Linked DNA regions of Coturnix japonica. The protein of the gene in region 5 binds, or shares a complex with, the protein of the main gene of each other region. Links are inferred from orthologs where the notes say so. Each region holds a gene or a part of one and is shown on either strand. Other genes may lie near its edges. The genes, in order: INTS11, INTS4, INTS7, INTS6, INTS9, BRAT1 and INTS12.

Region 1 (3,986 bases), on a different chromosome or scaffold from region 5:
GATGCCATTGAACTATTTAATGGACAGCTGGTACTGAGTGCTTGGGGAAGGAGGAGAGAATGATCCTAGAAAGGAACATGTTTAGTTTAGTTTCTTAGATTTAGAAACGCTGATAAATAAACGATACATGGAAAGAATCACTTCTCACATAGCACCATGGGCCAAAGTGCAGAGCAAAACTAAGGAGAGTATTTGTACCAAACAGATAGAAAAGAATCATAGAAACCTTGAGGACATGAAGAGGATGAGGAACATGAACCAGAGACTGCACTCACCAGAACGTTTCCAATAAAATGCAAAGCTCCTGGGCACGACCAAGGGCAAAAACTGGGATAAGAACCTGCAACAGAGCCATGATTTAGGCTGTGAAACCTGAACAGCACATAGAGAGCACTGCAGCATTACCACTGCTGAATAAGAGCTTCGTAGAGAGCAAAGAACACATCAGTGATCATCAGAGTGCCGTACCTTCCCTCCTCGTTCTACAGTCTCATGCACTTTCTTCAGGAAGTCTCTTTCTCTGCAGCGTTTGGAGTCTCTGATAGTTGTGGCATAGGTAGATTCTGTTATTAATAAATCGGGGCGACACTTATCAATCCAGGCAGCACTGAAACAAAAGGATTTCTTTTTAAAGTCATCAAATTAAGAGCCAGTATCCATCACTTCTCTGCAGGTCTCGGCTGCAGAAGGTCACTATCTCTGTGTGGAGGTAGGAATTAACCCAGCTCAGAATAGAGACCAACTCAGTGGACTTTGAAAAGCAGCTTTTCAGTCTGTTATTTGTTTAAAATACTTTCTTCAATGCTTTGTAAGCATCACAAACATTAAAAACCTCTCATATATGCCAGTAAAAAAGTAAAGCAGCGTTAAAGGTGGTGACTGGCACTCTCTTAAAAAGCAAATGCTTGTGGAAGATACCACAACAATGAAGCATTTCAAACACCTAAATCCAATTACCACGCAGCCATACAAATGGATTAATATGAGTACAGAGAAGATTATGTTAAGGTCTGTTCTGAGGACTCGATTTACCTCTGATCCTCCTCAAAATTCACACTTGCATTTATCTTTGCTGGAAAGACATCATTAAGCATCCCAGTCTCCCATCAAAGAACAAAGAACCAATGCTGGTAAGCCTTGGTATATGAGCAGAAGCTGTGGTAAAATCACCCTGCTTGAAATAGATACAATTCAGAGGAGCCCAGCCTTCCTACTTACCCTAAATGTCTGTCTGGTGTCATGTTATAATCACCCTAAGGGAGGAAGGGAAATCCGTTTATTTTCTCAAGCTAATGGAACAGGCTATTAGAAGGAAACATAAGCATATGTAACTACTGCTGTGCATACTTACAGTGTACACAACTGACTCACATCCAACCTTGATTTGGAACATGGCTGCTCCCAGCACGTGGCCTGCATAGTATGCCTTGATCTCCAGCTCTTCATCCACCTGAACACAAGCAAACACCATGGTAAGCACTTCACAAACAGAAAACTGCTCTGCCTTCCTCAACAGTTCAGTAGCTCCCATCCAAGCAGAAGCATTCATTTACCTGAACTGTCTGGTGAAGATGCACAGCCACCACCTTTTTCATACAGTCTTTAATCATTTGGGACGTGAAGAAGTTTGTTTCTCCTTTTTTATCTACAGTTATTTTCCTGTAGTCCTCCAGGAGGATGGGACAGATGGCCTTGGTAGGATGCGTCATATAAATGGGCCCATCGTAGCCGACCATCTCACTGAAATAGGGGAGGGCTCCACAATGGTCCAGATGGAAGTGGCTGCGAAAGAGACAGAAAGGATGAAGACATTACACAGCAGCTTAGATAACCTGGTTCTCACAGCTTGATTCACCTCTTCAAAGCACTCCACAAAATAGAACTTTTCCCTTTAGAAACAAAACTTGCTTTGATTTCCCATCTCTGTTGTGATCAGGAAGGAAGCTTTCTTACCTGATGATCACACAGTCTAGAAAGTCAGTCAGCCTCCCATTCTGAGTAATGTAGGAAAAGTCAGGAAAGCGTCTCTGCAAAGAGGTGGAAAACGGGTTAACAACCTCAAACAAAGCTACTTAGTACCATGTCATTAACTATATGGACCAGCAGCACGAACCACCTGCTACACTGGACACTGTAAACCCATCTCAAGGCAAAACTGGGGAGACTGTGGGAGCAACACAGCAAGAACTACAGGCAACGCAATGGACACCTACATAAAGAGTCAAAAGGATGAGCTGCCCTATAAAGACAGGCTGAGGGAGCAGGGCTTGTTCAGCCTAGAGAAAGATGCAAGGAGAGGCCTTCAACGTTTAAAAGGGGATTATAAAAAGGAGAAGAATCAACTTTTTGCTTGGGTAGATAGCGATAAGGCAGGAGGAATGGCTTTAAGCTTGAGGAGGGAAGCTTTATATCGGATGCTAAGGGGAAGTTCTCCATAGAGAGAGAGGTGCAGGAACAGCTGGGGATTCTATGAGAGAACAACCCAACCGTGTGTCACACTCACATCATCGTTGTATCCCATATGCATCCCACAGTCCAGCATCACATTCTTCCCCGCGATGGACACCAGGATACAGCTTCGCCCCACATCCTGCCCGGCACCTACAGGAACCCAATAGAACACCATAGTGAGGCGACCCAGCCCCTTTCTGAGGCTCCACAACGCTCCGATCCACCACTTACCGAGCGGTGTCACCTTGATTTCAGGCATTTTAAACCTCTTTCAACTCAAAGCTCGGAAGGGAGCAGCCGTTCCTTTAACGGCCATATTGCAACGGCTCGTCACTCTGAGGTAGATCCCGCCCTTCCCTTTAGCGCATGGGAGGCGCCTCCCGCCGACAAGATGGCGGCGGCGCAGGGAGCGTTCAGCCTGAGGGAGGTGATGGCCGCCTTCCAGAGCTGCGTGACGGAGCAGCGCGAGGTGCTGCTCGGCCCGTATCTCCGCGGATGGAGGGGGCTCGTACGGTGAGTTTTCTGGGCTCCCCAGTACAAAAAAAAGACAGGGATCTCTTGGAAAGAGGAGCCACTAAGATGGCTAAGATCTCCCCTGTGAGGAGAGACTTTGGGAACTGGGTCTGTTTAGCCTTGAGAAAAGAAGGCTGAGAGGGGATTAGATCCAGGTTTATAAATACCTGAGGGGTGGGGGACATAGTGGTGAGGCTGGTCTCTTTTTAGTAGTGTGTAGGGATAGGACTAGGGGTAATGGGATGAAATACAGCATAGAAGTTCCTTAATAAGAACTTCTTTACGGTGAGGGTGACGGAGCACTGGAACAGGCTGCACAGAGAGGTGGTGGAGTCTCCTTCTCTGGAGATATTCAAGATCTGCCTGGACACTTTCCTGTGTGACCTGCTGTAGGGAACCTGCTTTAGCAGGGGGGTTGGACTCGATGATCTCTAGAGGTCCCTTCCAACCCCTACAATTCTGTGATTCTGTGATGGGAGGGGAGGTTGCCCCTCGAGGATGCTGCTTTGTGTTATACCGCTCCGTTTATCCCCTTTTCAGCTTCCTCAACGGGCTGGGCGCCATCTTCTCGTTCATCTCTAAGGACGCGGTGACTAAAATCCAGATTATGGAGAGTTATTGCGGCGGGGAGAAGAAGGAGGAATACCGTACAATGCAATCTATGGTGCGCTATGAGCTCAACGGAGGGCTGGTCGACTTGGAACAGCGCTCAGCCCACCCCAATTCAGGCTGTAGGACCGTCCTACGGCTGCACCGGGCATTGCATTGGTTGCAGCTCTTCCTCGAAGGGCTTCGCACCGCCCAGCAGGACGCCAGCACTTCCACCATCTGCACGGACAGCTACAACGCCTCGTTGGCCGCTTACCATCCCTGGATCGTCCGTAAGGCCGCTACCTTGGCCTTTTGTACCCTGCCATCCCGCGATGCCTTCCTAGAGGTGATGAATGTAGGCGGCCCCGAGGAGGCTGTGGAGATGCTGGGTGATGCTCTGCCCCATATCCGAGATGTGTACGGCATCACTG
Region 2 (3,500 bases), on a different chromosome or scaffold from region 5:
CTTGAATATCTCCAGGGGTGGTGACTCCACCACCTCCCTGGCCAGCTGTGCCAGTGCCTGAATACTCTGTCAGAGAAAAGATACCTCCTAATACACAACCTGAGCCTCCCCTGGCACAACTTATGTCCATTCCCTCTCACATATCACATATACCCTCCAATGTACAAGGATTTAACTCTGAAAATGCAAGATGACAATAAGAATTATGCAATGCCCTCCCTCTGTTCAGCGACTTCCACCTCTAGAAGCACAATGCCCCAGAATCCTGAAAAGCAAAGCACGCAAACCAATACAAAATAAATAGAAACAAAGATGAGGTTTTACCTGACCATAAATGGCCTGCTGCAGTTTCAGTCCTCTCTCGTGAAGCTGAAGCTAAGGGCGAAAACAAGAACAACATAAGAAAGGAACGACAATGAAATCAAACTATGGTTTTAAATAACACACACTAAGTTTTCATCACTGCTTTGCATAAAATTAATTGCTTGCATTAACCAACTGTTACTGTAATTCAGCTGTTTCTCAATCCCTGTACTCAGCACTGGTGCGGCCGCACCTCAACTACTGTGTCCAGTTTTGGGCCCCTCACTGCAAGAAAGACATTGAGACCCTGGTTCAGAGGAGGGCAACAAAGCTGGTGAGGGGTCTGGAACACAGGCCTTATGAGGAGAGGCTGAAGGAGCTGGGATTGTTCAGCCTGGAGAAGAGGAGGCTCAGGGAGACCTTATAGCTCTCTATAACTTCCTGAAGGGAGGTTGTAGTGAGCTGGGGGTTGGCCTCTTCTCTTGTGTCATTAGTGACCCAAAAGCAGCAGTGACAGTGCATTTTAAAGGCCAGAGGAACAGCAAAACCTGCCCTACTAAACAGTGTATCCTAACACAACATGTGACATAGTAGCAAGGAAAACTGCGATTAAGAACCCTAGGAACAATCAGGGACCCTGAATTCATTCAGGATGCTTCCAAGCTCCAGACTAAAGCAAAACAACTGACACTGTACTGAAACTATTAAATTGAAGGGCATCAATCTTGATATGGATTTGATTCAATAGTATTGCAGAAGTCATGGCAAGGTGTAAAAAGTCCTATGAAAAAAAGAAAGAAAATAGAACGAAAATGAAGGATGAGAGTAACCTTCAGCAGACGGAGAGCCCAGGCAGATCCACATGCAGTCTGATCCTCCCAAATGCATCTTGTTTCCTTCTTCACAGTTTAACAGTATTAATTCAAATGTCTTTCATAGAATCACAAGGTTGGAAAGGACCCACAAGATCATCGAGTCCAACCATCCTCCCATTACCGTTGCTATCACAAGCCATTAAACCAGATCTCATAGCTCCTCATCCAGACACCTCTTGAACACTGCCAGGGATGGCAACTCCACCACCTCCCTGGGCAGCCATTTCAGTGCCTGACCACTCTCTGAGAGAAGTTTCTCCTTATGTTTCTAAATATCCTCTGGCACAACTTGCAGCCATTTCCTCGGGTCCTGTTTGTTGCTTGGGAGAAGAGGCGAAACCCTCCTCATCACAACCTCCCTCTGTTCACCATCAGGTTAAGATAGAGTAACACTATAAACCTTAAGGGTTAGCAAAGGAAGTGCTGCAAACCCACACAGTCACAGGAATCCCCACTGAGCAAAGTTCTCACTGCACAGTCTATGCTTTTACTGCTGCAAAGCTAAAAGAGTTCTGAATTTGCTCAATCCCACATGAAAATCAGTAACCAAAACATTGTTTTAAAAAAAACCACAAGTTTTCAGGTTTAAACTCACAAGGTTTCCTGTCACAAGCAGTGTTCTATTACATGCTGGAGTAATAGGGGCTTATTATTGTGGCAGCCAATCCTGAATCAGGAAATACAGACTTCTCACTAAAAGAAAGAGCTTTACCTATAACAATACCACGATATCCCAAATGAAAAAGCTTCTTCCCCTACAGCAGAAGCAGGTCTCATGGAACCACTGAATTGCTCTGGTTGGAAAAGACCATCAGGATCGTCAAAGCCCAACCGCAACCTAACGATACTACCCCTAATATATCATTGTGAACCACTAAAATACCCTCTGAGATTTCATAAAGTTCTTCTATTTCATAACATATCTCATTTTTCCAGGTAATTTTGATACGTTAAACTGGCACTTGGTGAGTTAATTAAATAACTCCTGTCCAAACCTCTCTGGATTCATTTGCAGATCCTTACCAGCTTTCTTATCAATCCCCCCCAGACAATTTCTTCCACCACACCAGCACTCCTTACCATGGCTTTTATAGCTGCTGTCCTAACACGAGGATCCTGGTCGTTAAAATGATCTCCTATTATCTTCTGGACATCTTTGGCAGCCTGGCTTTCAGCTTCTTTCGCAACACCTTTTTCCACTGGTCCAAGGCAGCCAATTAACTGAAGACACTTATTTCTTACACCATGGGAAGAATCTGTCAGATGCTACGGGACACAAAAATAGATTTATTTTAAATGCTCTTTTGTCTCTGTAAACAGCTGATCAGAGTAAAATTCCCAGCAGTTACAAAATGTTTATATTTTAGTAAAAAAAAAAAACATTAAGGAATATTGATAACATATTCTTTCCTCTGGCAGAGATGAGTATTTGAACAGATTATAAATACTTTTGCTTAACATTAATGCTTTCCATCAGTAACTTCTTAACAGGGAATAGTGTTTCTAAATAACAGCTACAAAAAAGCAGACATGTATCCAAAAGCATATGAAGCAAGAGGCAGTAACTGAAAGAGCAGTGAATCCAGTGTTGTTTGCAGACTTGTTAGCTGCATTCAGAGCTGTGCTCACATCACATTTGGTTTTAAGTTGGTCTTGCTTAAAATTTAGTACATTGAGCTCTCCCCCAAAACAGACTGAATCCAAATGCAGCACGCAAGAGCAGAGCTTTGCCCTTCAGCAGTATTTACATCCTCAGGGAGGCAGCCTTACCTTGCAAGCTACCTCTACCAGCCTCATCCTGACAGATGGGTTCTCTGTGAGCTTTGTGCCAATCACCAGCAGCGTATCCAACAGCTGAGCAAGGACTTGGTGAGATTCTGCAAAACAAAGCAGGGAAAGGTTATGCACTTCTTTGCTAAGCTCCAGAACCACAGCATCACTCCGGTTGGAAGGTCCTCCTAGAGCCTTCTCCTTCAGAAGTCAGAAGAAGCCCAGCTCCCCTGGCTTCTCCTTGCAGATAACATACTACAGCCACCTTGGTGGCCCTCTGCTTAACTCAGCCAACCTTATCAGCATTTCTCTGGCACTGGGGAGTGAAAACTTGAGACAGTATTCCAGGTGTGGGCTCTCTAGCATTGACTAAATGGAATAACCATTTTCCTCAAGCCCCTGTTGAGAGCTTTCACTGCACACTCAACAACTTAACCTTACATTCACCTGACACTAAATGATACTAAAATAAAACTAAACTTCATCAAGCACATACAAGCAGTGAATATAACACAGAAAAATGTACTTAAATGAAGGCCCTGATGAGCTGCT
Region 3 (3,500 bases), about 77 Mb from region 5:
TTCCACAAAACATTTGCAGAGATTATATAGTCCCCATAACCAGCATGAAGGACCAGAATCACAGAAAACTTCATGGACAAGACCAGTCAATGTATGTTAAGTGCATAAGCCTGACTGCAAATAAACTTATTTCATTGTCCTTGCTCTCATTTACCTTTTTCCTGACAAGACGCTGATATATTTGTCAGAATTCTCACACCATGAGCTGCAATGCCACGGTTATTATGGTAACAGCACTCCTGTGCTAATTTTACTAAATCAAATGATCTTGCAGTTGTAGTCGCTGTTCCTAAACAAAGACAAGGTAAACCAGACATATAACAGCACAAAGTTTAATTAGACTATGAAATTTTCAAGTATATTCCCGTACTAAAGCTATATTGATTTGTGGTGCTCAGTTTCTTAAAATTACTTATTTTACTTCATATGTTTTTATCCTACCATTTTAACATATATTCCTACACACCTGCTAACACTGAGACTCTCTCCTCTTTCCTAAATGCAACTTAGACATCTAAGAAAAGAAAAGAGTATCAACCTTTAGACCTGCATGTTTCAGGAACTTTGAGATCTTTAGACTTATCCCAAAGATTTTAATGACTGAAAAAAAAAAAAAGAACTATCAAGCATATTAAGACATGCCAGAATAACTGATGAAAACACACTGTTTCTCCTCTTTTCTGCAGCCAGTGTTGTTGGGCTCATTATACTCATTAAGACATAGTGCCTTTCAAGAAGACATAACAGACAGTATCATTTCCATTTTCAGAATGAGATACCTTTAATCATTTCAGAATGCCTGCTTCTTCTCAACTACAAAGCCTCTATGCTTCACTGCTCCCTTCATTCAAACTAAAACACTACACAAATGCGTGGTCTCAAAGTGCCTTAAGCAGAACACAGGCTGACCATTTAAAAAGGCAAACTGTTTCTTTAGTTTATGTCAAGAAGTTGAAAATCCAAAGGTAAACAAAACTTTCACAGAGCTTATTAGCCACAAGATCTGTAACAGAATCTTAACCAGTGACTGTTCATTGGTGCATGCTCTCTCATTTCAAGTTCAGATACAATAAACACAGTTTGACCCTCAACTAGCACCCTGAAGTTCAGTAATACTTTCAGAATATGCAACAATGTTTACTATAAACTATTCTGGAGTAAACAGCTAATTACCAAAAATGCCCAGAATTATCATCTAATCTGGTTTTCTTACCTGGAGCACTGCTGAAGTACTGTTTAATGGCAATGGTCCCTGATAATGTGGAAAGAACTGACAGCATCCCCAGCTTCAAACTGTCATACGGTGTGTGAAGAGCAGATTCACACAGTGCCTACAAGAGAAGGGAGAAGATACAAATGGAAGGAAGTTCCATGAACTATCTGTATTAAAGGTCTAGTTGCACCTGTTTGTAAGAAGGAAGGGCCTATGACCAAAACAGGCAAAACTGAAATCAAACCAGAACTTGCTCATCTGGCAAGCATCTAGAAAACATCTTGCACGTATCCTAACAAACTGCTCTAAGTATCAGTAGCACCAGGTTCTAAAGCCAACAGCACATGCTTTTCCTCAGTTACATTACTTCAATTGTTCATTTATATTTGGCTACTTTGCTTGGTAGATTATGCCTAATTTAAGGACACACAGAGGCACATATTCTTGCTTCCTTCCCTCACAAATTGTTCTCTTGGAAGGAATTCCACAACTAATTGCAAAGCTTCATAACAAACTTTTGCCTAAAAATGTATTAACCTGAATATTTTCTCTACTCCATGTATGTGGCATCTTGTTAGCCAACAGCTTTAAATCTTGGATTGCAAGCCTCTTCACAGCCTTTCTGGGGTCATTCTTCAAGTACTGCAACAAAAGCTGGACCTGTAACAAGATAAATTCATCATTTAAGGGGACGAGATTGTACTATAAAGATATTATATAAATATTCAAGAATATTCATGAAGGAATTTTGAAAATACTCATATGAAACTGCCATGTGTTTCCTGCCTGCTTGCTTCCCACATGGCAAAGACTGCACTGCAGTTCCTTGGCAAGTGGAATCAATCTAACAGCTGCTTTCTGCCATCCTTCACTCCTGTCTCTTCAAGCACACCTCTCTGCCACCTCCCCACATGCCCCGAGAAGCCCTAAGTGCTATTCCTGCTCTCATAGAAACACTGGTAAAAACATTCCCAAGGACCTCAGACAACACTTTGCATTGTCACGATTACACTAGTAGCAAGTATTTCAGGCATTTCTGCATGATCTGCAGTCAACAGAGAGCAGCACAGATATACACTCTGTCTCAGAAAAAAATAATAAGAAATCCACACACCCTGGCTATCTGATTTATATGTACAACATAGGCGGCTGTGTTGCAGAAATACAGCCTGTAAGCCCATGCTTACTTTCATAAAGAGCATGTGAAGTGCTTGAATGTTGTCTCAGCTAGCTCAAATTCAGTACTATTCCTGAAAGTCAGCCATCCCAAGAAGTTTTAAACAAATCAATGCAGTAAGTCAAATAGACACCAGCCTGCCACAAATGTATGGATTAAAAGGTCAATAGATTTTTATGACTTTACTATAATTAGTTGAACCTCAAATGTCACTGTGCATTCATACTTGCTATATGAATCATAATCACAAAGCCCATTATCTAAACATAAAAGCATTATATTTTGCTCATCAATGCTTTCTCACGACTTGGTTTAAAAACATAAGCTGTAGCAATAGACTCAGTCTTTCAAGATAAAGATCACAGTTTATCCTCAATAATCCCTGTTTTGTTTTAAACATGCTTTGTAGATTCATTTGAAAGAAGAATTACCTGTTTAGGAATGTCAACCAAAGAAGAAGCAGCAAGCAGAGTGAACGTGTGCAGAGTAACAATGACCATCTTGGTGGAAGGATATGATGTTACCAACTGCTGAAGCAGCTGCCGGGAGCTGGAGGCCAGGCTAGCATCATGATGCATGTGCTGTAGAATAGGGATCAACTTCAATTTCAAGTCCACAGGTGTGGCTAAACCTGTAACAGGGAACAGAGACACTGTCAGGCTATTGTACTGGCTTTTTCTGGTACTAAGACACACATTATTTGGGGTAAGGGCAATGGTATAGAGGTATTTTATATACTTATGTATAAAAAAGAAGCCCTGGATATCATCACTCAGTATTTGTACATACCTTGAATCATCTCACTGATTTTGTTACATATTCCTGCAGCAAAGTCCCTGTAGAGAAAAAGACAAAGCACCAAGTGAAATGAAAGCAAACAGGCTAAAAAAAAAAAATCAACAGAAGAACCAAACAATGAATTTTAATAATAAAAACCACCACAAGAATGCTTGCCAAAACTTAGTTATTTTAGAATCCCTACACAGGTGCATAATCAAATAATAAAATGGAAGCTTTCAAATAAGTTTCATAGGTTTTTTTAGACTCGAATTCAGACTTCCTTACACTTATTATCATGACATATAACAGCTGTGAAGGATGTTCTACCAC
Region 4 (3,500 bases), on a different chromosome or scaffold from region 5:
CATTTCCCATACTTTTGGTTTGCTTTGATTAAAACACGACAGAAGTTTCATAGGATTACAGAATCACAAGGTTGGAAAGGACCTACAAGATCATCCAACCATCCTCCCATTACCATTGCTACCACAAGCCATTAAACCATATCTCCTACCTCCCCTATCCAGACACCTCTTGAACACTGCCAGGGATGGCAACTCCACCACCTCCCTGGGCAGCCATTCCAGTGCCTGACCACTCTCAGAGAGAAAAAATTTTTCCTTATGTCTAATCTAAACCTCCTCTGGTACAACTTGTGGCCATTTCCGCAGGTCCCATTTGTTGCCTGGGAGAAGAGACCATAACTTTCCATAACTTTAGTTATTTGTCATAACTACACCACAGACTCAACTGCTACAATTTCTCATTGTGAAACTGAGATGGATTAGAAAAAAAAATTAAAGAGTTCTGCCAATAAACTGCTAAAGGAAATATAATTGAATTCTTCCAAGATAAGTTACACGTGAAGCATTAATGCAGGGTCATTAAATTTATTATAATCAAGTTCTGAGTTTTCAGTAAGAGTTCACGAATACTTAGTCCACCCCACATACCTGATTAACAAATCCATATTCAGTTCATTTTCAAAATCATTGATTTGTCAAAGGAAGTCAAGGGCACCTACCTCCTGTGACTTCACACATTGGTGTGATTGCAGAGTCATCCACTGGTACACCTGCCATCTGCTCTGATTCTGGTGATGAAACACCAGGCAAACGAAGAACTAAAGCAAACAGCCTCTGATCCCATCGAAAGGGTTCCTTGGTCAACTCGCTTCCAGGCAGAGGGGAATTGAGAGGTAAGTGGAGCTGAAAAGGAATTTAAATCCGTGAGTAGCTACTTAGAAGAAATAAATCAAGTTACGTAGTGATAGCAAATCTATAACCACTTATAAACACACACAGAATCTTTCCACAGATATTTATGATTCTCTTTTGCTTCTTTACAAGTGAAACTTAATTTAATCAGCACTTCAAAGAAATTTAAGGACAACATGAGGCACAAACTTGAGAACCACAAACTGAGTGGGAACCACCACCTTCTGAATATGAACTTAAGAATCGATCAAATACCTTCCCTAGAATTTTACCTATAAGAACTAATTTTCTGCAGAATAAGCTTATTGTCAGCTCAAACTCCTGGTGGATTCTTCAAGTTAAAAGGCACACCAAAATAAAAAGGTATTTTTAATTTAAGCCTACTAGAGAAGAAACATAACTTGGGTATTGCTGCTCAAAACAATCCAGCTACCATGACTATCTGCTCCAAATAACAACTTCAAGTAAATCAATGTGGTGGTTATGCTACAGCATCAGAAAGGATTGATTTTAGCTAGGTTGGGCATATCCCTCAATCATACTCGTACCTTCTCTGTGCTCTAAGTAAACAACAGGTTGAAATCAATACTGAAATGTAAACTGTATTCTTACCTATACATAATAAATAACAGTAGCTACAGCTATCTAATACAAGAACTGTCTGCCATGCAATTATATTGCCTCTATCTGGGAAAAACTAAATGTTTTTTAGTTTCTAATATTAAAGAAATCACCCACAGACACAGAACACGTGGGGATATTTCACTTTGCTTTAGGTACCAGATGAAACAGTAGCGATTCAAAAGTTCCCAACTTTAAATACAGCGTACTATTGACACAGCAAAATTATTAATTAACAAGCAACAGCCATAAAGACCATCAGAACATCTCAAAATCCTGCGCATTTAGAACTAGTTAACTGAAACAAGAAATCAATGCTTTAAAAAGCATTTGTAACACACATATTTTTGAATACCGTTGCTTTATGAACAAACAAGTGGAGCAAGAAGTCGTAAAGTTTAAAGAATGTTCAATTCTAGAGAACTTATACAGATAGACTAGGCTTATAACAAGTAATTACAGGTTTCAGAAAAATGAGACTAATCCCTGGTAGATATTACCACCATCAGTACAGATAAAACCTTTGTTTTATTCAAGTATTGTAGCCTTGTTGTTTATGCAACCTCAGAGCCAGGTACAAATCATAGAATCATAGAATTACCCAAGTTGGAAAAGACCTTGAAGAACCACAGCCTAACCAGTACCCTTGGGTAAATGGGACAAAGCCACTTAACATGTCAGCAGGAATCAGAACATTGCCTTCTCAGAGCACCTGATGATTTATCCTGTATCTGTTTTTGCTCACAAGCAGACAGCATGACAGAAGAGCGCTATTTTCCCCTAATATTTTATGGGAAGTTGCTCGAAGGGCACTTGGCTACATATGTGGTTCATTACTGGTTCATACATGCCTTTCCCCTTTTTATGCAAACGTAACCCAACACCTGCTCAACAAAGGGAACCTAAAGCTAAAAGAATAGTTCTTCATAAATAGTTTCCAATCCCAACTGTAACAGGATTCAATTGTAAGTACCATAATATCATCTATTGGGACTGCTACTTAAGAGCTGACAAGCTTTCCAACACAGATCTCAGCCAACAGATGAATAAGATTTAGTGGTTCTAGACAGCACATTTCCTTGGCAAAACATCTCTTCAGAGCAGCACTGTAACTCACCAGGCAGCACATATTACAAGGTTCCCACCTGACCCTGCCCCAGTGCTATTCTGAGTTCGGTGCATCTCAAACTACAAAATCTTCATGCAGCTCAGCTGGTTATAGTGAACAAACCCAAAAAACAAAGCAGGTCTCAGCAGCAGAGCACTGCAACATGCACAAATTACTACCAGAAATGTTTATAAAAATCCAAGACCACATGCAAAGCCATCAGTATTAAATCGCATGTCCTCACTCTCTTCCCTACAGTCTAATTTCAGTTAAATTTAACATTCACGTTACTGGAGAAGTTGTAGATTCAAACCAGACCTCATACTCTGCAAACATTAACAACTGTCTTCTCACACTCAGCACTGTTCATAGGTTTTGTTGTTGTTTTTAAACAAACAAAACCCTCAAGTATTTACCGTAGCAGCACAACAACTGCATACCTAACAAAATAAGATGGGTCTAGAAACCTGTAACCTGCATTTTCTTTCCCCATGCACTTCACATCTTTTCTTGTTTTATCTTTCATATTGGTCATTGAGAGAAAGATAAAATGAACAAGTGAAAAATAAGTTGTTCACCAACAGTGGTCTTCAACGTTGTCTATGTTGAATGACACACAAGTGCCCTCATAACCTCATAGCTCAGTACTGGGAGATAGCTTTGTTTTTATCTCAAGCCTTATTTGTAACAACTCTATTATTTCCTAAAGCTTTTTCTTGTATCCATGAAAAGTAATTTGTAACATTCCAAGCATATGCAGCATTTCACCACTAGAGGACAGCAGGATGAACAGCAGGGTTCAAGCCCAGCTGATAAGAGTCCCCCAGAATCACTACTTCAGATCCTTAAGAAACGACAGCATTGGTTTCACATCATTTTCTGTGCAATCATTTGCAGTTCAAACAGAAAACCACAAAAT
Region 5 (3,500 bases):
CTGGCTCTCTGATGAAAAGCACGCTTGTATATTCAATATCCAGAGGGCAGTAACACCTTCTTGGTAAATGCCACTGTCAGCTTTGATCCAAGGACGCCTTTGTGCTGACTGCATTGTTAAAAAAATATATTTAATATCATATCTGCTAGAATATGGATCACTCTTTGTATTACGAGCACATTTGTATAAAATGTATGGGCTTAATAAATTATTAATGAATGGTGCAGCCATAAACAGTCCACATTATAGATGGCTACAAGCAACTCATTACCTGTCGGACTTCAGGAGTCCATAGGAATTAACCATTTATTGAAATTGTTCTAACACAAATGAGCCGTTTTACTGCAGTGTCTTTAACATTCCGCTGAATACTGCTCCTGAAGGGAAAGGGTATTTCTCATAGCAGGTACAGCTGGGGAAGGAGAGAGACAAGTCCTGGCTAATAACTTCCAATCTCTCTCAATCCCTTCCATAGCTCTGTACTACTATTTCAAACTGCAGTGCCTCTGCATATTCACATTTAAGGTGGCACTGACTGGTTTTCTTCACAGCTGGCCAGCAGAGATTACTCTTTCTTCTGCAGATTACTCTTTCTTCTGCAAGGACATGATGTGTCCTTGCAGAGGACAATTAACCTGAAGACACCTTTTACTTGCCCATCACATTCCTCTTTTCTCCAATTCTTGATTTACAGAATGAAATTCCCTTCAAAAATGCTTTCTTAACACTCTATTTGACAAAAACTGATGTGTGTTCATAATCAACAGCAAGTCACAGATGCAGGATATGTCTAGTCAAATTGGCTACTGCAATGCTGCTCGAAGTATGAGCAGAAGCCACATCTTTTCCCCACCTTTTGTTACTTACTTCTGGCATGATTTCGATCTTCTCGTAGCGTCGCTTATAGGGAAGAGTCAGGACCTCAGCTCTGCGGTAGGACATTGGTGGAGGCTGACAGTCTATCATCAAATCTGTCCGGTGAGACTGGGAGGGTGGTGGCTGAGTGTACTGCTCCGGGCAAACTACATGGAGAGGCTGGAAAAGAGGACTATGATGACTTACAGAAATGCCTGGTTGATTCTGCACACTGCCCTACATTGGTAATGGTTGCCATAAGGAGGTCTGTGGATTGACGTTAGCACGCTAACTTAACTGTATGAAAACAACATCAAAAAGATGAAATCCAGAAGATTCAATCAGGATTGAAACCGACTGTCCAAGGAACAAGCAGTATTTGCTTTGTATACAGACGATGCCCACAGTAACAAGGCCTAAATTTATATCTGTAATCACTACATCAATATCAGCAGTCATGTTAGCTGCCATAAGGAGAGAAATAAATCAAAATGCTCAATAGCATTCTCATCCAAACGCTTGTCATCTAAATTGGAAGCAAATACAGCAGTGGTGCAGACCATCACAAAATGGCACTGAGGCAAACGTGTCAAAACACAAGACTGCAAAAACATTAGCAAAATAGGCAACTCTGAGTTTTCACGACCTGTCAGCAATGCATTAACAAAGCATAAACAAGCTGATTACCACGGGGATCGCCACAGGATTTAAGGAAGCCACAGGATATGACAGAGTTTCTGCCAGATGCTTTGGAAACAGCATATTTCAGTAGTTACATGGAGGAAGAAAAACAGGCAATGTAATTTCCACCAGTTGTGCAGTGACAAGCCAGGTCACAGAATGAGCAGATAAGATGATCCAGACATTGTTAAGAGGTTTGGAAGAACATGCATTTCTGCATATGATGAGCTGAAGACAAATCCAAGGGAAAAGCTCAGCCAGAAAAAAATATGGGGTGTTAATTTAATGCTGCCACGAGTCAGAAACCAAATTTCAGTAGAAATAAATAGGATGGATAAGGAGAAGCCACAAAGAAAAAAAGAAAAGCCTGAAAGCTCAGCCTTTCTTCCTAGACAAAAAAGGAAAGACTGTGCAAATGGAACGAGGAAAGCTGTCAACTTGCAAGTAATATGTGAGTGGGACTCCAAAGCAGTGACGCCAGAATCAAGGCAAGGATCAAGTGCAGGATTCAGTTACAGGCGTGGGGGAGATGGTTAAAGCTGAGGGCACAGAGGATGATCTACACTTGGTACATCTTACATTAAGACTGTATCAGACACAGAGACACTAATTTAAACAAGCAGGGGAAAGAATAACAGGAAAGTGTCATTCTGTGTCTCTCTTACAGAGAAAGAATGTGTGTGTTATCTTATTTTGCCATTATTTAATATAAGTCACAATCAACTTATTTATTTCAGACAAATGTGTGAAGAAACACAAGAAAAGGCAACAAGAATTCATTACCTGGACTTCTTTGAGCAATTTAGACACCTGAATAAAATTCAGTCTTGTGTCAATGGGGCAGTAAACACATTTCATGGCCAAGGGCTGATAAGGAGCCAGAGCATCCAGATAGGAGAAATCTGGTTCTGAAAAGAGAAATGTTGAAAATACAGAATGCTACTGAGAATAAAGGTGGTCCAGCTCCTCTCTCATTCCACATTCCAGTCTAGACAAGCGATCTTATAGTAAAGTTAATTCTGCTATAGATTTCTTTTCCCTCCTTCCTTCCCCCACCTGGTATTTTCAGTTAATCTGATGAAAATTAACCCCTCAATTAGACTTACCTTAATCAAGCTACAGAGCAATACTATTTCATCTGAACACATTACTGCATGACTTTTATAACAAATTTAATCAAGGCAAAACCATTATCTCTTATTTTTAATCAGATCTTGTAAAAGAAGGCAAGATGTCCAGGTTTTGGTATCACAAATGTCAGCTTGTTTTTCACTGTGGCAGGGTGCACAGTGCACAGGAACCAGAGGGGCTGTGCACTTGGGGATCTTCCAAAGCCCCTGGTCATGGTGCTGGGCACCCTGCTCTGTGTAGCCTGGTTGGGGCAGGGTGGCAATGAGAGAAGGGCTGACCAAATTTGTCATGCAGACAGCAAAAAATAACGACCTTAACATTTTACTGATGGAAGTAGAGCTTCCATCATGGTATTCAACACTCCGTGCTGGAGCTCATTGGACTGGTAAAGCTAATTGCTAGCCTAAAAATCTGATACATCTAAGTATCAGTCATTGGTCATGATGTGGTTATCTTGTGAGAACAGAAAATAATATCAGCTAATGATACACACGTTAGGAACTGTCAAGGGGGCAATTTAACTGAGTCTAAAGCAAGTGTCAGTGTAGCTGCCTGGGAATATCTAAGTGAGAAATATTAACAAAAAATGATACTTGTATAAGAATATCTTGTTGGATGCTTCAAAAGTCATGAATTGCCAAACATGAAACAAAACTCACACTGGGCAAGAAGCCATGCTAGTTAAAAGCACATGTGCCAGTGCCATTGAATCAAAGCCCAGAAACAGTAATGCAAAAAGAGGCAATAAATAGCAATGAATAATTAGAATACTGAGCGAGTAGCTAGTTGAAGAATGATCAGTAGTCAAATAGGATCAAACCAGAGGACATTTT
Region 6 (2,865 bases), on a different chromosome or scaffold from region 5:
ATGATTTCTTCAGAACCTGAAGAAATACAAAGCAGATGTACTTTACTGCAGGAGAAGGTGCTGCTGTCTTTATGCTAGATACATTTCTTTTTTGGACTCAAAATTACAGTGAAATTGTCAGAAGAAATTAGAGCGCAGTCGAGTTGATTATATTGGTTCTACAGTTAGACATGGTGGCTCCTGTATTTTCAAGAGCATTTGATTTATTGGTCAACTACTTGCTCACTGGCATTGTAGCTATTTCCTGCAAGTCACTCAAAAGAAGCCTTCTAGATATTCTAATACTATACATGCTAATACATGTATATTAGTATAGCATGCATAGTAATACATGCTAAGGAACAGCTGTTGTCAGACCATTTCTCAGAACTGTATCCCACTGGGCAAGCTAATAAATTTGGAGCCTTCTTTAGTTCTATACTCACAGTAGGAGAAGTATTTGGACTCTCCAGGTATGCCAGAAGGACGTCAAATAAACTTTCCACAACTGTGTCGCTGCCTGAAACATTTAAAAACAAAGCAAAACAAAAACTCGTGAACCAATATTAAGGAAAAGAGATTAATTCAGCTGTTCTAATATGGAATGAAAAGGCTTATCATACTGTTTTATAGAAGCAAGCAAAGCACGGTGCTCAAATACAGAATAGTCATTTCCAAAATTAAAATGTAAGTGCAAAGTTTAACTCACATTTCTGTTCAGAAAGTGCTGCAAGGGCATCCAGAGCTGACTTCTGTACTCGGAAGCAACCTACCAAGATTTGGCTAATCTTGCTTCCCAGAGGAGAAGCTGGAACCAGGAGGCCATTACAGAACTGTAATATTGTCAAGACAGAATGCAGCAAAGATGCATAGGGTAAACTCACGGGCAACAAAGCCTAATGGGAGGGAAAAAAACACGCTTTCATCAAATGTTTCAAGCATACAAACAGAGCAAGAGTTTCTGGTAGACACAGCAAAAGCTGCAATTTCTACTGTCTTTATGGTAACATAATGCTAGTAACTACAAACAAGTAATCTTCCTCTCATCCAATGAACTATTGCATAAATGGAAGGAGATGCTTTTCACTAATTGGGAAAGCAACTCAATTTATGTTTTTCACTGGATCAAGACTTGCAGTGGATATAATGTATGACAACTAAGCCTGTGAAGGTAGGTGTCAAACCAAGTATGGTCCCTCCTTACAAGATTTCATATTCCTTTGTTATCCTACTGGGAATATATCCTACTGGATTTTCTAACTAACAGAACTCACTCACCACAGAGAGAAGCTCCTCCAGATGAGCAAGTGTCTGACACAGAAGACTAGCACAAGATGACTTGGAGGACAGAAGGCTTTCAACAGCAGAGGGATCACTAACCGACTCATCCAGCAAACCTAGGGGATCAAAGGGAGAAGCTCAGGTTGTTAGCAATTACAAAGGACAGTGATCTCCAAACTTGGTTTTTAAGCTATTATTTTGAAGTGATGCAGTATGAAGATCCCTTAAGATGCAACTGTCAGAAGGATGCTGTGCTTTACCACAAACTTTGCTCCTGTGCTTGGCTTTTTCTGTCTTTCTCCAGTTTTGTCTGATCCAGGTACTTAAAACATTGGCAAACCGACTAGCCTCTAAACTTTTCTATTGCAATAGTACCTGCATATTCCAGAGGCTTGGAGGCTGCTCTCAAAATACAGTCCATTGGTTGAAGGAGAACAGTCAGTGCTTTAATCCTCACAACTTGTGGGCTTCAAGGAAGAAACAGCAATTACCAAAACAAGCAAACTTCAACTCTTCCCAAACATCTTTCCCCAAATGCTGAGCACACGAGTGATTTTTACACAGGCTTGTAAAAAAAAGCCAGCAATAGGATAGAAATGAAATTACTGTCACAAGTCAAGCGTTCTTCTGATTCTTCCTGGCTAACTGAAAGAGAGAAACGGTTCTGGAATTGATAAGCAGCCTCATTCAGCAGTGAAGAGTGAAAACCTGTGTAAGAAGAGAGTTTAGATAGACATTTACTGGAAAAAAAGAAAAAAAAAGGCAGTAAGACACACATGTTCATCAGTCTGAAAGTATCTATATGTGCTAGAATCATTTAACATGTGATGATGTCCCCATGCTTTTTCCACCATCTAAAGGGAGAAGATGCCAGTGGATTTCTCTGAGGTGCACATGATGAGGCAACATCTTAAACTGCAACAAGGCAGAGTCCAACTTGGATACACAGAAAATACTTCTTACAGTGAGACTGGTAAAGAACTACTAGAACTGGTTGCCTAGAGAAGCTGTGGAATCCCCATCCTTTGGGATACTTGAAACTGATCAGTGAAGGCCCTGAGCAACCCAATCCATCTCTTAATGGAGCCCTGCAATGCGTAAGAAGTCAAATTAGATCACTTATACTGCTTCCTTCTAAGTTAAGTTTTCCTACTGTTGACAGAGATGCACGATGTATGTATGATGCATACTCCTGCTGGACAGCAGTTAAAGTTACACACTTGTCAGTGTTTATGTGAAAGAGAAAACTCACCAAATACTTCTGTATTTGAAAGTCATAATATCCATCTTACTCAACCTTGGCCATAAAAAGTTAAAGGAGCTTTGTATTTCTGTCTGAGATAGCTGTCTGTAGGTAAAATGCTAAAGTATATGTGTGAACATGACACTGGCTCTTTTCAATTCTGCCTTTGAAACAATTATTCTAATAGCAGTGTCTGAAGTGTGTTAGTTATTTGCATGGTCCCACCAATCAGTCCACTGTATTAAGCAACATAGTGGAAAATGCTGTGTGGCAAATAAAACAACTCTCAGAAACACAACAGAGACATTGGGAGCATTTGCAGAGTGAATAAGTTTCATAGCAGTAACTCCTACCATTGGTGG
Region 7 (4,172 bases), on a different chromosome or scaffold from region 5:
TCCATTCCCTAACAACTGTGACAGTGGAAGATTTCAAGTATTTACCAATACTGCCCATTCCAGATGACTCACATTTAATGCAGGTCTTGATGAAACAGATCAAGGAAAGCAGGAAAAGCTTCTATTTTCAGTTTTTACTTTCGTATCATACTGAGGATTTGATTCATGACAACAATTTCACAGTTATCGCCTGTGAGGAATATTTCAAAACTCAGGCACTTTAGCAGTCCCGACAACTGTATTAATCAGAACAACTGTATTCATCAGTTCTTATTTATGTGACAACTTGATGTGAAATTCAAAGAATTCCAGGAGACCTGAGTAAATTCTTCCATTATAATTACTAACGTGACTATCCATAACTTTATATTCTATCCTACAACATATTTTATACCATAATTTCCAATCAATAATTCAATCTATCACAGTAACTTGCTTATCTAACATTTCTACATTACCCTATCACCTTCTATTTTCTGCTTTCTATCACTCATAAACAACATAGTATCCAACAACCAGAATACCATGGTTTTGGCTGGGATATAGTTAATTTTCTTCACGGTGACTCACCACGTCCTGTGTTTTTGATTATTTTCAAAATGGAAATAGTACTGACAAGTGATGCTTTAGCTGTTGATGAGCAGTGCTGTGCAGAGCTGAGGACATCTCAGCTCCTGATGCTGCCCTGCCTGGAGGGGGCTGGAGGAGTACAGGGAGCTGTGAGGGGACAGAACCAGGACTGCTGGCCCAGACCAGCCAGAGGGATGGCTCGTACCATATGGTATCCTGCTCAGCAATGAAAACTGGGAGACAAGAAGAGGAAGAGCAGATGACATTCTGAGAGATGGAGTTTGCCTTCCCAAGAAACTGTTATGTGTGATGACCTCTGCTTTCCTGGAAGTGACTGAACATCTGCTGCCCAGGAAGGCTGTGGATGCCCCTGTCCCTGCAGGTGTTCAAGGCCAGGTTGGATGGCCCTGGACAACCTGATCTAGTAAATGTGTATGTTTGGTGGCCCTGCCAGGCAGGGGGGTTGGAACTACATGATCCTTGAGGTCCCTTCCAACCCAGGCCATTCTGTGATTCTGTGATCTGCCTGCCAATGGGAAGTAGCAAAGGAATTTCTTGTTGTTTGCACATGCAGATTTTGCTTTACCGAGTAAACCATACTAACCATAAAAGAGAAGTTCTCATACTTCTAAGTTTCTTATTTTCTCCCCCATCCAACATGCAGAGAGCAAACAAGTGGCTACGTGGTGCTGAGCTGCCTGCTGCATTACACCACAATACACTGGCATTTTGTTTCTAAGAGACCTCCTGCTCAAAGCAAAAAGAAAAAAATCAGCTATGAATTCAGACAAGATTTCCGAGGACACCATCCAGATGGACCTTCAAAACATACACAGACAGGGATCTCACTGTCTCCTTTCACTTCTTTATTCCAAATTGGATCCTCCCTTTTCAGATTGTGCTTTCACATAAAAGGAAATACAGGCTTCATTTTATCAATAATCTCCTGTTAGATACAGAAAGGCGTCTATTTAGGACACAGCAAGACCCTCCTCAGATGATATTCTCCACTCCTCCCCTCAACTTCAGAGCTAGTTATTTTGCCATAAAGGATAATCCAGTTGACCAGACATGACTGACCCTTGGTAGATTCCCAAGCTGGTTATCCCCAGTCAACACGTGCTCCTGCCCATGCTGTGCTGGCTCCCTTCATAACCTTCCCATGGATGCAAGGAGGGAGGCTAACCAGTCTGCACTTCCCTGGATAGTCCTTCCTGCCTCTTTTGAGGAGGGATATGTAAGACATGTAGTCTGCCTTTTTCTAGCCCCCAGTGATTTCTCCCAGCCTCATGACTTCTCATAGACAAAAGCAAGGGGCTTCACAATGGTACACCAGAACACAGTCCATCCAGGTCAATGGATTACCAGGCAATCAACCCATGCTTCAGCCCTCTTCTGCATCTTCTCCTTGTTGCAGAAACAGAGGGCTCACTGATGAGCTCTGAGGGAAACTAATTGTCTTAGAATCAGTGGAAACAGTTATTTTCCTTCACAGTACCTGATATGATGCTATGTTTTAGCTTTAGAGGGAGCTGGAAGGGGACAGAACCAGAACAGCCGACCTCAAATGACCCAAATGGATATTCCACAGCAGGCAAGTTTGAAAAAGGTGGGAGTTCTTCAGGCTTGCTGCTGCTGCTTGGAAACTAGCACAGCATCGATTGGTACGTGGTGAGCAATTTGTTTGTGCATTGCTTGTTTTTTTACATACATATATATATACACACACAGTCTTATATACGTACTTATAGTTGTAACTATTATCCTTTTATCTTTCCTCCCCCTCACCTCACCCCCAGCCCACCTCCTCCTCACACCACAGCTGCCTGTTTAACTGAGCCCTGTTCCCGTTGTACCACATATTAACTCACACCGGGGCCACCCGCCGGCCCCACTCAGACAGCGGGTACGGCCGCTTCCAGCTCCGCCGTGGGAGGACACACAGGCGCCCACAACGCCCACCCTCAGGGCCGGGGACGACACCGCGACACCCCCCGAAGCTCCCGCCACGCTCTCACCTGAGGAGAGACGGTAATACCCGCCGCTCAGAGCCCTCAGCCGGTACACAGCCCCCGTTCCGGCTCGCTCCGCGGGCGGGAGGGCGGAGCGCTGCGCGGCTGGGGCGGAGCCGGGCGGGACGCGCATGGGCACACGGTAAGAGGCGGAGCCGGGGAGGAAGCGGCCGGGACGTATCGTGCGCGGGGTCGGGTAAGTGGTGAGGAGCGACCGAGGGAGGGAGAAATGGATCTCGATCGATCAGCGCTGGTGGAGACCGGGCGCTGTTTATCGGCCCGCGCGGCGGTGGGCGGGGCGGGAGGTGTGTGAGGGAGAGCGCGGGATCGGCGGCCTTGGGGGTTCGCCCCTCGGTGCTGCTTCCTCACACGGGCTCACACCGAAGGCAAACCGTGTTATTTATCTTTAAGTGATGTTGCAAAACCTGTGGTGTTCATTATTTATGTTCAGCTGATTTCTCCCTTCCCTTCTTTTAGCAGTGGTTACTATTAATAAGGCCAGTGTAGGATAGAAACCCTCACAGAATGCAGGCTAAGCAGAGAAGGACGAGTGCCAGGAAAGGTGTTGTGATTAAATGGGTGCACAATGTTTTTGTTAGTTCCATTCTTTATTATCACAGAACAGCAGCGTTTGGAGGAGACCTCAAGAGACCATCAAGTCCAACCCTCTGCTAAGTAGGTTCCCTACAATAAACTGCACAGATTGGTGTCCAGACAGGTCTTGAATATCTCTGTGGAAGGAAACAAGCTGTCAGGAGGAAATTTTTAAAGCAAAATATGGAAGAGGAGTGTGATGTGGCAGTGTGAGAGTACAGCTCTCTGAAGTGAGAGAAGGCCATGAGTATATTCTCACAAGAAATAATTTAAGGAAACACAAGTCATCTATAGACTGGTCCCAGATAGCTTTATTTTGCTTTATGTCCTGTGGGAGGCTAATATTAATACAGTTGAGCCAAATCTTGCTGCACTGACTGGATTTCAGAAGCAGGTGGTGTGTCATTTGTTCACTGTCTGTCTGAGAATGGAGAAGACAATTTCCTAGATAAGTGTTTGGAGTAGTCAGTGAATGATCTTTTTGTGACAAAGAGGTTTGTGATGTCTAGTAAGAGATTAGTATTTCTTATGTGTTTACTCCATGTGTTGCGAGCTCTGCGGTTGTGGTGAAACCAAGTCTAGACTTGACTTATTCAGGTTGCCATTTGGCTTTTGAAATTACATAGCTGTGAACAAAGTTAACTTAATTGCTACTTTTTGGCCATCTGAAATATCTTATGTGGAAAAAAAAAAAAAGTATATTGTGTAGCTGGAGAAAAAGCAGCAAGTTAAATGGGGCTTTAAGGAATGGATAGATGGAAGAAGAGGGTGGCTATTGTCATTTATACCTAGGACTGATCTGGCAAAGTGGAAGGAAAAACAAATCAGGCTGATAAAATGTTTGCGAGTCCAGCTGTGAGTCTGGGAATAGAATAAGTGATAAAATCCCCATGGTATATGCTCAGGACTAAACAGGGGCAAAAAAAATCCTGGCATTTCTTTCTGGAGGCAGCTCATCTTCTAAGTTAGAAAAAGAAACACAGTAATATGACAGGA

What was found.
Region 1: the proteins of INTS9 (region 5) and INTS11 are in contact, whole or in part, in a cryo-EM structure (PDB 8RC4), measured with the Homo sapiens proteins. The link is inferred for Coturnix japonica from reciprocal best matches to the Homo sapiens genes INTS9 and INTS11. Residues at the interface, in NP_060720.2 of Homo sapiens: Glu127, Gly198, Tyr199, Ser200, Gln201, Lys202, Tyr231, Glu338, Phe339, Ile342, Phe343, Glu345, Gln352, Lys354, Val355, Tyr356, Leu357, Pro358, Glu359, Pro360, Pro361, Arg511, Arg512, Tyr513, Glu514, Lys515, Ile516, Glu517, Ile518, Met519; in NP_060341.2 of Homo sapiens: His94, Gln97, Ala98, His137, Leu138, His139, Gln140, Thr141, Lys274, His277, Tyr278, Lys280, Leu281, Phe282, Ile283, Pro284, Trp285, Arg291, Phe294, Ser449, Pro450, Ser451, Ile452, Pro453, Val454, Gly455, Ile456, Ser457, Leu458, Leu461.
Region 2: the proteins of INTS9 (region 5) and INTS4 are in contact, whole or in part, in a cryo-EM structure (PDB 8RC4), measured with the Homo sapiens proteins. The link is inferred for Coturnix japonica from reciprocal best matches to the Homo sapiens genes INTS9 and INTS4. Residues at the interface, in NP_060720.2 of Homo sapiens: Lys2, Tyr4, Lys18, Ser21, Thr22, Leu43, Val44, Gln45, Glu87, Glu89, Leu90, Asp92, Asp97, Thr122, Glu145, Arg146, Val147, Pro148, Lys159, Glu174, Ser176, Thr177, Ser192, Gln195, Phe206, Gly207, Ile379, His380, Ser384, Asn385; in NP_291025.3 of Homo sapiens: Leu53, Gln54, Leu57, Gln58, Arg61, Lys62, Pro86, Ser87, Leu90, Lys91, Ser94, Gln125, Gln129, Asp132, His164, Gln207, Asp208, Pro209, Arg210, Arg212, Asp244, Tyr245, Glu246, Gln247, Trp296, Phe837, Gly840, Leu841, Val842, Val843.
Region 3: INTS9 (region 5) and INTS7 share a complex: the UniProt entries of both Homo sapiens proteins name them as parts of the integrator complex. The link is inferred for Coturnix japonica from reciprocal best matches to the Homo sapiens genes INTS9 and INTS7.
Region 4: INTS9 (region 5) and INTS6 share a complex: the UniProt entries of both Homo sapiens proteins name them as parts of the integrator complex. The link is inferred for Coturnix japonica from reciprocal best matches to the Homo sapiens genes INTS9 and INTS6.
Region 6: the proteins of INTS9 (region 5) and BRAT1 are in contact, whole or in part, in a cryo-EM structure (PDB 8UIB), measured with the Homo sapiens proteins. The link is inferred for Coturnix japonica from reciprocal best matches to the Homo sapiens genes INTS9 and BRAT1. Residues at the interface, in NP_060720.2 of Homo sapiens: Gly276, Met277, Gly279, Glu280, Cys282, Ser283, Asn284, Ala286, Leu287, Arg290, Asn291, Tyr315, Asp317, Ser318, Ala319, Gly320, Ser483, His484; in NP_689956.2 of Homo sapiens: Ala406, Pro407, Cys416, Pro460, Gln506, Lys507, Arg508, Cys510, His511, Pro512, Arg517, Glu545, Leu549, Gln552, Asp556, Pro557.
Region 7: INTS9 (region 5) and INTS12 share a complex: the UniProt entries of both Homo sapiens proteins name them as parts of the integrator complex. The link is inferred for Coturnix japonica from reciprocal best matches to the Homo sapiens genes INTS9 and INTS12.

Annotation. Positions count from the first base shown.
Region 1 is NC_029536.1:1,973,238-1,977,223, reverse strand, and holds the start of INTS11 (integrator complex subunit 11), read right to left. Parts: upstream 2,801-3,986; 5' UTR 2,711-2,800; coding exon 2,683-2,710; intron 2,602-2,682; coding exon 2,504-2,601; intron 2,028-2,503; coding exon 1,954-2,027; intron 1,783-1,953; coding exon 1,554-1,782; intron 1,451-1,553; coding exon 1,352-1,450; intron 1,254-1,351; coding exon 1,219-1,253; intron 608-1,218; coding exon 469-607; intron 341-468; coding exon 276-340; intron 1-275. Other genes in the region: CPTP (ceramide-1-phosphate transfer protein), read left to right, coding at 2,843-2,964, 3,505-3,986.
Region 2 is NC_029516.1:172,682,346-172,685,845, reverse strand, and holds part of INTS4 (integrator complex subunit 4), read right to left. Parts: intron 3,056-3,500; coding exon 2,949-3,055; intron 2,445-2,948; coding exon 2,259-2,444; intron 376-2,258; coding exon 325-375; intron 1-324. UniProt on the Homo sapiens protein: Component of the integrator complex, a multiprotein complex that terminates RNA polymerase II (Pol II) transcription in the promoter-proximal region of genes.
Region 3 is NC_029518.1:19,455,774-19,459,273, reverse strand, and holds part of INTS7 (integrator complex subunit 7), read right to left. Parts: intron 3,227-3,500; coding exon 3,180-3,226; intron 3,022-3,179; coding exon 2,822-3,021; intron 1,874-2,821; coding exon 1,751-1,873; intron 1,332-1,750; coding exon 1,214-1,331; intron 290-1,213; coding exon 155-289; intron 1-154. UniProt on the Homo sapiens protein: Component of the integrator complex, a multiprotein complex that terminates RNA polymerase II (Pol II) transcription in the promoter-proximal region of genes.
Region 4 is NC_029516.1:152,154,715-152,158,214, forward strand, and holds part of INTS6 (integrator complex subunit 6), read right to left. Parts: intron 844-3,500; coding exon 660-843; intron 1-659. UniProt on the Homo sapiens protein: Component of the integrator complex, a multiprotein complex that terminates RNA polymerase II (Pol II) transcription in the promoter-proximal region of genes.
Region 5 is NC_029518.1:96,768,344-96,771,843, forward strand, and holds part of INTS9 (integrator complex subunit 9), read right to left. Parts: intron 2,445-3,500; coding exon 2,320-2,444; intron 1,036-2,319; coding exon 868-1,035; intron 109-867; coding exon of another isoform or gene 1-108. UniProt on the Homo sapiens protein: Component of the integrator complex, a multiprotein complex that terminates RNA polymerase II (Pol II) transcription in the promoter-proximal region of genes.
Region 6 is NC_029529.1:3,415,861-3,418,725, reverse strand, and holds part of BRAT1 (BRCA1-associated ATM activator 1), read right to left. Parts: coding exon 2,857-2,865; intron 1,728-2,856; coding exon 1,636-1,727; intron 1,377-1,635; coding exon 1,258-1,376; intron 876-1,257; coding exon 689-875; intron 500-688; coding exon 426-499; intron 17-425; coding exon 1-16. UniProt on the Homo sapiens protein: Component of a multiprotein complex required for the assembly of the RNA endonuclease module of the integrator complex.
Region 7 is NC_029519.1:34,243,709-34,247,880, reverse strand, and holds the start of INTS12 (integrator complex subunit 12), read right to left. Parts: upstream 2,801-4,172; 5' UTR 2,716-2,800; coding exon 2,589-2,715; intron 1,292-2,588; exon of another isoform or gene 1,175-1,291; intron 178-1,174; exon of another isoform or gene 73-177; intron 1-72. UniProt on the Homo sapiens protein: Component of the integrator complex, a multiprotein complex that terminates RNA polymerase II (Pol II) transcription in the promoter-proximal region of genes.